Linked DNA regions of Drosophila melanogaster. Each later gene encodes a partner of the first gene's protein in a complex. Each region holds a gene or a part of one and is shown on either strand. Other genes may lie near its edges. The genes, in order: Cbp20 and Cbp80.

The links.
Region 2: Cbp20 (region 1) and Cbp80 share a complex: the UniProt entries of both Drosophila melanogaster proteins name them as parts of the nuclear cap-binding complex.

What each region holds. Positions count from the first base shown.
Region 1 is NT_033777.3:18,162,842-18,166,057, reverse strand, and holds Cbp20 (cap binding protein 20), read right to left. Parts: upstream 1,398-3,216; 5' UTR 1,330-1,397; coding exon 1,282-1,329; intron 1,227-1,281; coding exon 1,009-1,226; intron 885-1,008; coding exon 686-884; 3' UTR 619-685; downstream 1-618. Other genes in the region: Prx5 (peroxiredoxin 5), read left to right, coding at 1-32, 163-492; CG7218 (uncharacterized protein), read left to right, coding at 1,756-1,954, 2,344-2,954, 3,029-3,216. UniProt on the Drosophila melanogaster protein: Component of the cap-binding complex (CBC), which binds co-transcriptionally to the 5' cap of pre-mRNAs and is involved in various processes such as pre-mRNA splicing and RNA-mediated gene silencing (RNAi).
Region 2 is NC_004354.4:4,648,049-4,653,097, forward strand, and holds the start of Cbp80 (cap binding protein 80), read left to right. Parts: upstream 1-2,001; 5' UTR 2,002-2,281; coding exon 2,282-2,324; intron 2,325-2,383; coding exon 2,384-3,722; intron 3,723-3,783; coding exon 3,784-3,887; intron 3,888-3,906; exon of another isoform or gene 3,907-4,004; coding exon of another isoform or gene 4,005-5,049. Other genes in the region: mRpL30 (mitochondrial ribosomal protein L30), read left to right, coding at 1-46, 127-541; torsin, read right to left, coding at 637-1,466, 1,525-1,717; CG15473 (uncharacterized protein), read right to left, coding at 4,005-5,049. UniProt on the Drosophila melanogaster protein: Component of the cap-binding complex (CBC), which binds cotranscriptionally to the 5'-cap of pre-mRNAs and is involved in various processes such as pre-mRNA splicing and RNA-mediated gene silencing (RNAi).

The DNA.
Region 1 (3,216 bases):
TTCCCGGCGCCTTCACTCCAGGCTGCTCAAAGGTGCGTAGGTAGCATAGTTGCAAAGTCATCTGCTTTGAGTTTCCGAATATTGTAGAAACTTCCAGCAGTATAGTGTAATTTATGCAGCTTATGTATTCCAACTGAATAATGCATTTCCCCACACCCACAGACCCACTTGCCCGGCTATGTGAGCTCCGCCGATGAGCTGAAGTCCAAGCAGGGCGTGGACGAGATTGTCTGCGTTTCGGTCAACGATCCCTTTGTGATGTCCGCCTGGGGCAAGGAGCACGGAGCCGCGGGCAAGGTGCGCCTCCTAGCTGATCCCGCCGGCGGTTTCACCAAGGCCCTGGATGTGACCATCGATCTGCCACCACTTGGCGGCGTGCGCTCAAAGCGCTACTCGCTGGTGGTGGAGAACGGCAAGGTGACCGAGCTGAATGTCGAGCCCGATGGCACCGGACTCAGCTGCTCGCTGGCCAACAACATTGGCAAGAAGTAAATGGAATCCAGTCAGCCCGAAAACACTAGAAACTCATACATGCTAATGCTAGGCCGCAATGATATCAATTACGTCTTCAAAAGAACTATGTAAAACGTACAATATATATGCGATTAGAGATGTTATGTCTAAGGGGTATGCTTTAATATCTAATTGGGGGGCTTATAGTCTTTACAGTCATTTTATCTAATAACTAGCGATTGTCCGTGTTGGGTGCAATCTTCTGTGACAACAGTTTGCCATAACCCCCGCGGCCGGCATCGTAATCCGTGCGGTATTCATCTCGCACCTGTCCGCCGGTTTTGCCGCGTCCATACTGCCTGCCCTCCACGAAGCCGGCGTCCCAGTCCACACGAATCAGACGGTCGTCCAAGCGAGTGCCATTCACAAATCTTTTGTGGGAGAAGAAAAGAGTGTTGAAGTTAGTTAAGAGATAATGATACCCCATCTGATTACTTCTACAAATGCCGGAAAAAAGGCGGCTTTTTCTAGCGTGGAGAGATGGATATGGCTCACCTCATGGCCGCCTCCGCCTCCGATCGGACATAGTACTCCACGAAGCAGAAGCCGCAGGGCGTCTTCTTATACTTGTCCAGGCCCATCACAATCACACGAACATCGCCGCAGCGGGAGAAGAGCTCGTGGATCTGCTCCTCGGTGGTGTAGAAGCTCAAGTTTCCCACGTAAAGTGTACACGAGTCGCGGAGCGATCGCTCTTGCTCGGAGCGCGAGCCCTGCAATTGGTTTATTGAGTCGGAGATCTGCTGTGGCGCCTTCGGATGTACTCACCTTGAAGTGCTGATCGCGATATGAGCTTAATTCCACAGATGCGAACATATTTTTCAGCTACAAACTATTGAAATATTTTCTCTGCTTTTATTTAGTGACGGCACTCTATTGACTGATACTTCGATAGCACTTTGAAATATGAATCGGTGAGCTAGTGCATAAAAAGTTTACTGGGTAGCAAAAATATATTATTTTAAAATTCGTTGTATACTTATATATCAATTTCTCTCATGGCCCTAACGGGAACTTATTCTTTAAGCTTAGAATAAAAATCATTGCAAATATTAACCATGTTAATATAATATAAACTAAGCTGTTACTTTAGGCGATAGTTCTGTACATTCGATACACACACTGTTTACGTTTGGGTATTTTCGGCACGCGTTAGTACATTTTCATATAACTGCTGTTTCACCCCGAAATTTTGTAGCTCGTTGTTATTGTTAATTTTATGGACTCCGCACACCGTACTTAATGAACGCCACACTCAATTCCGCGGGCGGCAAGCGTCAGCTGCGCTTTCGCGGCGACGTCACCGGCAGCCGAGTGGAGGAACTGCATCATCAGCAGCAGGAGGAGCAGAAGCAAAAGGCGCCGCTCGCCCAGGATGACGTTGCAGCGACGCCGACTGCGACGCCGGCAGCGGGCTCAGCGCAGCAGCGACTGCAGAGCGGTAAACACGGATTTACTGATTGGAAAAACATTCTTTTGAATTATTATTATTTAGTTCTTAGGATGACATTTACGTTAACTAATTTTAATTGGGTTTCGCGCTATTTCATAGCAACTTTACTTTTGATCATAACATACACATTTGCCTTAGATTTGATGCTATATTTAAAGTTCTAGAGAGATTTTTAATTAACTTAAATTCCAGATAAAGCTCTTAAAAACCTAATATATCATAATTTGCAATTTTTGAAGTTGTTTTAACTAAGGATAAGGATGTATAATCAATGATTTGTAATCAATCGTTATCTATTTTACTTAAATCATTAGAATCTATGCATATACTTTATATTTGATTCATACTTATCATTCATTTTTCTTTTATTTTTGCAGGAACCGCCGAAACCTGCACAAACACATTCTACGACTTCTTCAAAGTGGAGATGACACGCGGCTATATGCTGGAGCACGACGAGGAGCGCTATTCGGCGCGTAGGCAGAAGATCTACAGCTTCATGCGCATACCGCGGGATCTGGAGCGATTCATGGTGTACGGGATCATGCAGTGCGCCGACTCATTTCTCTACATTCACACTTTTCTGCCCGTCCGATTTGTGATGGCCGTTTGGGCCCTAGTTTCCAGGACGGTGGCAAGAATCTTTCGACTACGCAGCAGCGGACAAAGGCTGCTATCGCCGGCGGAGATCTGTGATCTGCTGAAGGGCGTCATCTGGATGACGGTGACGCTGATAATGCTCCTGGTGGACACGAATCGGGTGTACCACATCATCAAGTCACAGTCGATCATCAAGCTGTACATATTCTACAACATGCTGGAGGTGGGCGACCGGCTGTTGTCCGCTTTTGGTCAGGACACGATCGATGCTCTCTTCTGGACGGCGACAGAACCAAAGAATTCCAAGCGAGAGCACTTTGGAGTGCTTACGCACGTTCTCTTCACGCTAATCTATGTCTTCTTGCACAGCGGACTGATCATGTTTCAGGTGAGTAATGGTAGCTTTATAAACCACATTTTCTCTGTGATTATATTGGTTTGGTTTCTAAACTATTCCTTCAGGCCACCTGTTTGAATGTGGCGGTGAACTCCAACAACAAGGGCCTGCTGACCATCATGATATCGAATAATTTCGTGGAGCTCAAGGGATCCGTGTTCAAGAAGTTCGACAAAAACAACCTGTTCCAATTGACCTGCAGCGATGTACGAGAGCGATTCCATCTGTCTGTGCTTCTGTTCATTGTGGTCAT
Region 2 (5,049 bases), on another chromosome or scaffold:
TCTACAAAAATGGCCAGAAATTTGAGGGTATCACCTACTATCCCAGGTTCGTATTCACGTGTGCAGTGTATAAAAGGAAAACACACGAAATCCAGCATTTGTTAATGCTAAATCTATCCCGCTCAGGACTCCCGATCACCAGGATCCACCCGTGGAGCCGGCGAAACTTTTCCGGGTGCAGCGCATCAAGCCGCTAAAGGGCAATCCCTACTGGGAGAATCGAATCCTCAAAGATCTGGGACTAGACGGAAAGCAGAGCGATTTTACTGTCGTCAAGAACATACCGGAGAACAATGCCCGCCTGTGGAAGATCAAGCATCTAATTAAGGTTACGCCGGTCACGTTCCCCTACGGAGAGCCCACTGCCCAGGATGTCCGGCATACGATACTCAAGGAGAACGGCGAGTGCCTGGTAACCAAGGACCTGGGACCCATCGATACCCGCCTGGCGGCTCGCCAGGATTACGACGAGCAGCCCAAGCGACTGGATACCGATCTGCTGCGCAAAGATGCCCGCCTCAAGTGGCTAAATCCCTGGTAGTTAAAATTTGTTTTCTTTATTCCGAAAAAATAGTTTTTTAAATACAAACCGAAACCCAAACTAAGCATTAAAATGTGGAGTCGGTCGGTCCTTTCTCAGTAAATGGCCATGGCCACCTTCTTCTCCAGCGTCTTGCAGCCCGAAATGGCGAACAAGCTGTGCGTGCGATCGTAACTAATGGAGGAGTTTATTATGTCCTCAATGATTTTTTGGTTGTTCGCTTGCTTAGGATCGCGCCGCCACCTTAAAAGCTCCGCCTCCAGGCACTTGATCACATGCGCCTTCTCCATCGGCAGGAACGGAATGAAATGATCGATAACATGAGACTCAATCATGGTGGTCTTTTTCATACCGCCATCCATGTTATAGGCGGCCTTCCGCAAAAGGGGCTCAAAGTCACTCAGTCGTGTGTCCTCGCGCAGCCTACCATTCTTCATCACACTACCCAGATGACTGGCTATATGACTGCCCGCCGTGTTCGAGAGAAAGATGAAGATTGCCTTTGTGTTATCCGTGCCATCGACAAAGGCGTTGTAGTCCACCAGCGAGGTGAGCTGGTCGAATACTCCGCTGGGCATTTTATCCACCTCGTCGAAGATGAACAAAGATCTCGGGCAGCTACGCAAGGTATCGCGCACCGCATTATTGATTTTCACCCTATAGTTAGACACCTCACTTTCCTTGGGAAAGTCAGCTTGTCCGAGATACTTGGTTACATAGTTCGACCTGGAGCCCTTCAAATACATAGCATCTGCAATTTGCTCAGCCACAAAATTCTTGCCCGTACCGGGCTGGCCGTGAAAGCTGATGACCAGCGGTTTCCGTGACTTATTGCCCGAAGCGATGTGCGCCTTCAGTGCGGGGACGATATGCTGCCTCACGATGTGCTGGCCAATGAGGGTGCGTTCCAGGGATCTTTCTAATTCTGTAATTACCCACTGTACTGGTTAGTCATTTTGTTGCATACAAAACTACTCACTCACCATCTATTCTCGCCGGAATGTTTCGGTCATCGCAGCATTCGGCAAACCGGCAATATGTATGTTCTTTGAAGTACGCCCCAAGGGCCACGGCGCCAACGGCACCAATGGTCAGGGGATCCACCGACTGGAGGGGAAGCGGCAGTATTACAAGCACGCTAAGGCACAGTGATAACATGCGTGGAAAGCTCATCATAAAATGCAAGGAAAATTCCGCGGTGGAATGTATAGATGGGCAAAAGCGATAGGCAGCATAAGACTAGATTGCAGCACTTGCCGGCAACCGTTTCTATCGATAGTTGTGTAGCAGTGGCATTCAACAGATTTTTATTGTAAGTCAGTCAGTGGTATGTTTTGGTTAATTGAGTATGCCGCAATTCTGCGCATATGGCGCCAAAGAAAACGTTTATTCAGGCCCCATTTTCAGTCCGCCGCTTACGCCGCCGCTGTTATCGATAAACCCTGCCATCGATGGCGGCACATCTTTAGTTCTTTGGCAAAAAAAAAAAATAGCATCGCATCGCGTTTTTTGTGAAAATTGTGACAAAGCTGTTTTGAAAGTTGGCAAGCTAATTGACGCTCGCAGTGAAATACTAGACGCACCAACAAGGCCCATCCGTCAAGCGTATCCTGTCCAGGATCCCCGAAAAAGTCCAGGTCCAAGAGGTGTACCCATCAGCGTGCTTTTCTGTCTGCCGGTGGCCAAGGACCAATCGGTAATCGGTGTTTTCCGCAAAATTCACAGAAAATTCACGGGAAGATGAGTCGCAGGAGGGCTCACGACACGGAGGATGAGGGCTATGGTAAGTGGGCATCGATGTAATCATGAACGCAAAGCATTTATGGGGGCATTTAATTGCAGATCATCGGCGCAACAAGCGTAGACGTGTGTCCGAAAACCAGGAGATCGAGGATCGTCTGGAGTCGCTGATACTGCGGGTGGGCGAGCGTAGCACCTCCTCCGTGGAATCGAACCTAGAGGGACTCGTCTCCGTTCTGGAGGCCGATCTGGGCACGTTTCGCCTGAAGATCCTGCGCATCCTGTCCGACTGCGCCGTGCGAATGCCAGAGAAGTGTACCGTTTACACCACGTTGGTGGGCCTGCTCAATGCCAAGAACTACAAGTTTGGCGGCGAGTTCGTGGATCACATGGTGAAGACCTTCAAGGAGTCCCTCAAGATGTGCCGCTGGGATGCCGCCCGCTACTCGCTGCGCTTTCTGGCCGACCTGGTCAATTGCCACGTCATTTCGGCCACCAGTCTCCTCCAGCTGCTGGACACCATGATCGATGTCTCCAACGAGGATACAGTGCCCCAGGTGCGTCGCGATTGGTTCGTCTTTGCTGTGCTCTCCACGCTACCCTGGGTGGGTCGCGATCTCTACGAGAAGAAGGAGTCTGCCCTGGAGTCCCTGTTGCTTAGGATCGAGGTCTATCTAAACAAACGCTCAAAGAAGCACCATAATGCGCTGAGGGTGTGGTCCTCAGACGCTCCGCATCCACAGGAGGAGTACTTGGACTGCCTGTGGGCGCAGATACGCAAGTTGCGGCAGGACAATTGGGCGGAGAAGCATATACCACGACCCTATCTCGTATTCGATTCAATACTTTGCGAGGCACTGCAGCACAATCTGCCCACGATTGTGCCGCCGCCGCATCACGACAACTTTGAGTATCCCATGCCCTGGGTGGTGTACCGCATGTTCGACTACACCGACTGCCCCGATGGGCCCAATCTGCCGGGTGCCCACTCAATAGAGCGCTTTTTGATTGAGGAGCATCTACACCATATCATTGAAACATACCATCACGAGCGAAAGGATTGCGCCGCCCAGCTGCTTAGCTTTCCGTACAAGCACAAGATCCCGCTGGAGTACTGCATCGTCGAGGTGGTCTTCGCCGAGCTCTTTCATATGCCCACGCCGCGCTATCTGGACATCTGCTACGGCTCCATTTTGATCGAACTCTGCAAACTGCAGCCGGCCACGCTGCCCCAGGTTCTGGCCCAGGCCACCGAGATCCTCTTTATGCGCATCGACTCGATGAACACGTCATGTTTCGATCGGTTCGTCAATTGGTTCTCCTATCATCTGAGCAACTTCAAGTTCACATGGTCATGGGACGAATGGGACAGCTGTCTGCTCCTCGACGGCGAGCATCCGCGTCCCAAATTCATCCAGGAGGTGTTGCAGAAGTGCCTACGGTAGGTTATAACCGTGTCTGTGTACAAACCATTGATACTCAACTACATACATCTTTGACAGCCTTTCGTATCATCAGCGCATTACGGAAATGATGCCAACGACTTATGCCAAGTTGATTCCCTTGACGCCAGTGCCCAATTACAAGTACGCCAACGAGGAGGCAGGTGAGTCTGACCCCGTGCCGTACGGATTACTTGAATTTATTGTGGGATTAAGTGTGCTTACGGCTAGGCTTAAATATAGGATAGGATAATTAGGATTTAAGATAGATGGGTAGGCAGCTAATTAGTCAGCACTGGCTTCACCTCGTTCTCCTCGTCGTCCACAATGATGGGTATCTCCTCGCCGTTCTCGCCCACCTTGATGCTCACAGATCGACTAACCGATTTCTGGGTGAGCACCTCCACCACTTCCTTGGATGGTGCCGGTGGCAGTGGCGACGCCAATGGAACGCCAGTGGATGCAGCGATTGTGGACGGCGGAGTTGCTGTGGTTGAAGTTGTCGTGCTGGTTGACGAAGTGGTGCTAACGAAGGCTTCGTGGCGGTGACTGCTCTTGGCCTTGCTGTCCTGCTCCTTTCGCCGCTTGGCCCACTTATTCAGCGGTGGTTCCGTGCTGGTGGATGTAGTGGTTGTGGTGGATCGTCCAGCTGTTATCTTTGGCGTGGTGCGATACCTACTAATGGAGCGCAATGGACTAAAGTGCGTGGAGGTGGACACAAAACTGGCGATCGTGGTGGGGATGACGTGTGTGGATCTCTCAGTGCTTGCAGTCTCAGTGGTTGTGCCAGCGTTGGAAGATGGCGCTGAAACAGTTGTGCTCAGTTCGGGCTGCTCCAAACTGACCACTGGGCGCTGTTCCCCTCGCTTTTGGTCACTTGCCTGCTCCTGATGCTGTCCCTTATCGGTTTCCTCCTCCGGCGGCTGCTTATCCTGCAGCACATCGATGGGGTTCTGGTGGACATATAAAGGATCCGGCTCGGAATAGCGATAGACGGTCTCCTCCAGCGGTTCGCTTTGCACAAAGGACTTGTCATCATCGCCGGAATTGCCGCCCGCATAGATAAGCAAAGGTGGCAGCTTGGCTGTTTGATACTTGGAAGCCTGCCCATAAATTTGTGGTGTCCGCAGCAGTAAATCCTGATCTTGTTCCTCCAGAGATTCGGAAGAACCCGAATTGGAGCTGGGAAACTGCACTGTCTGATGATGGGTATATAAGTTTGAGGACGGATTGCCAGCCGGTGTGATCGGTTGCGGTGGCGAGGAGTTGGGCAAGCGGTAGCCCAATTCCGGATGCAATTGGGCATCGCCGGCACCAGGTGCCACA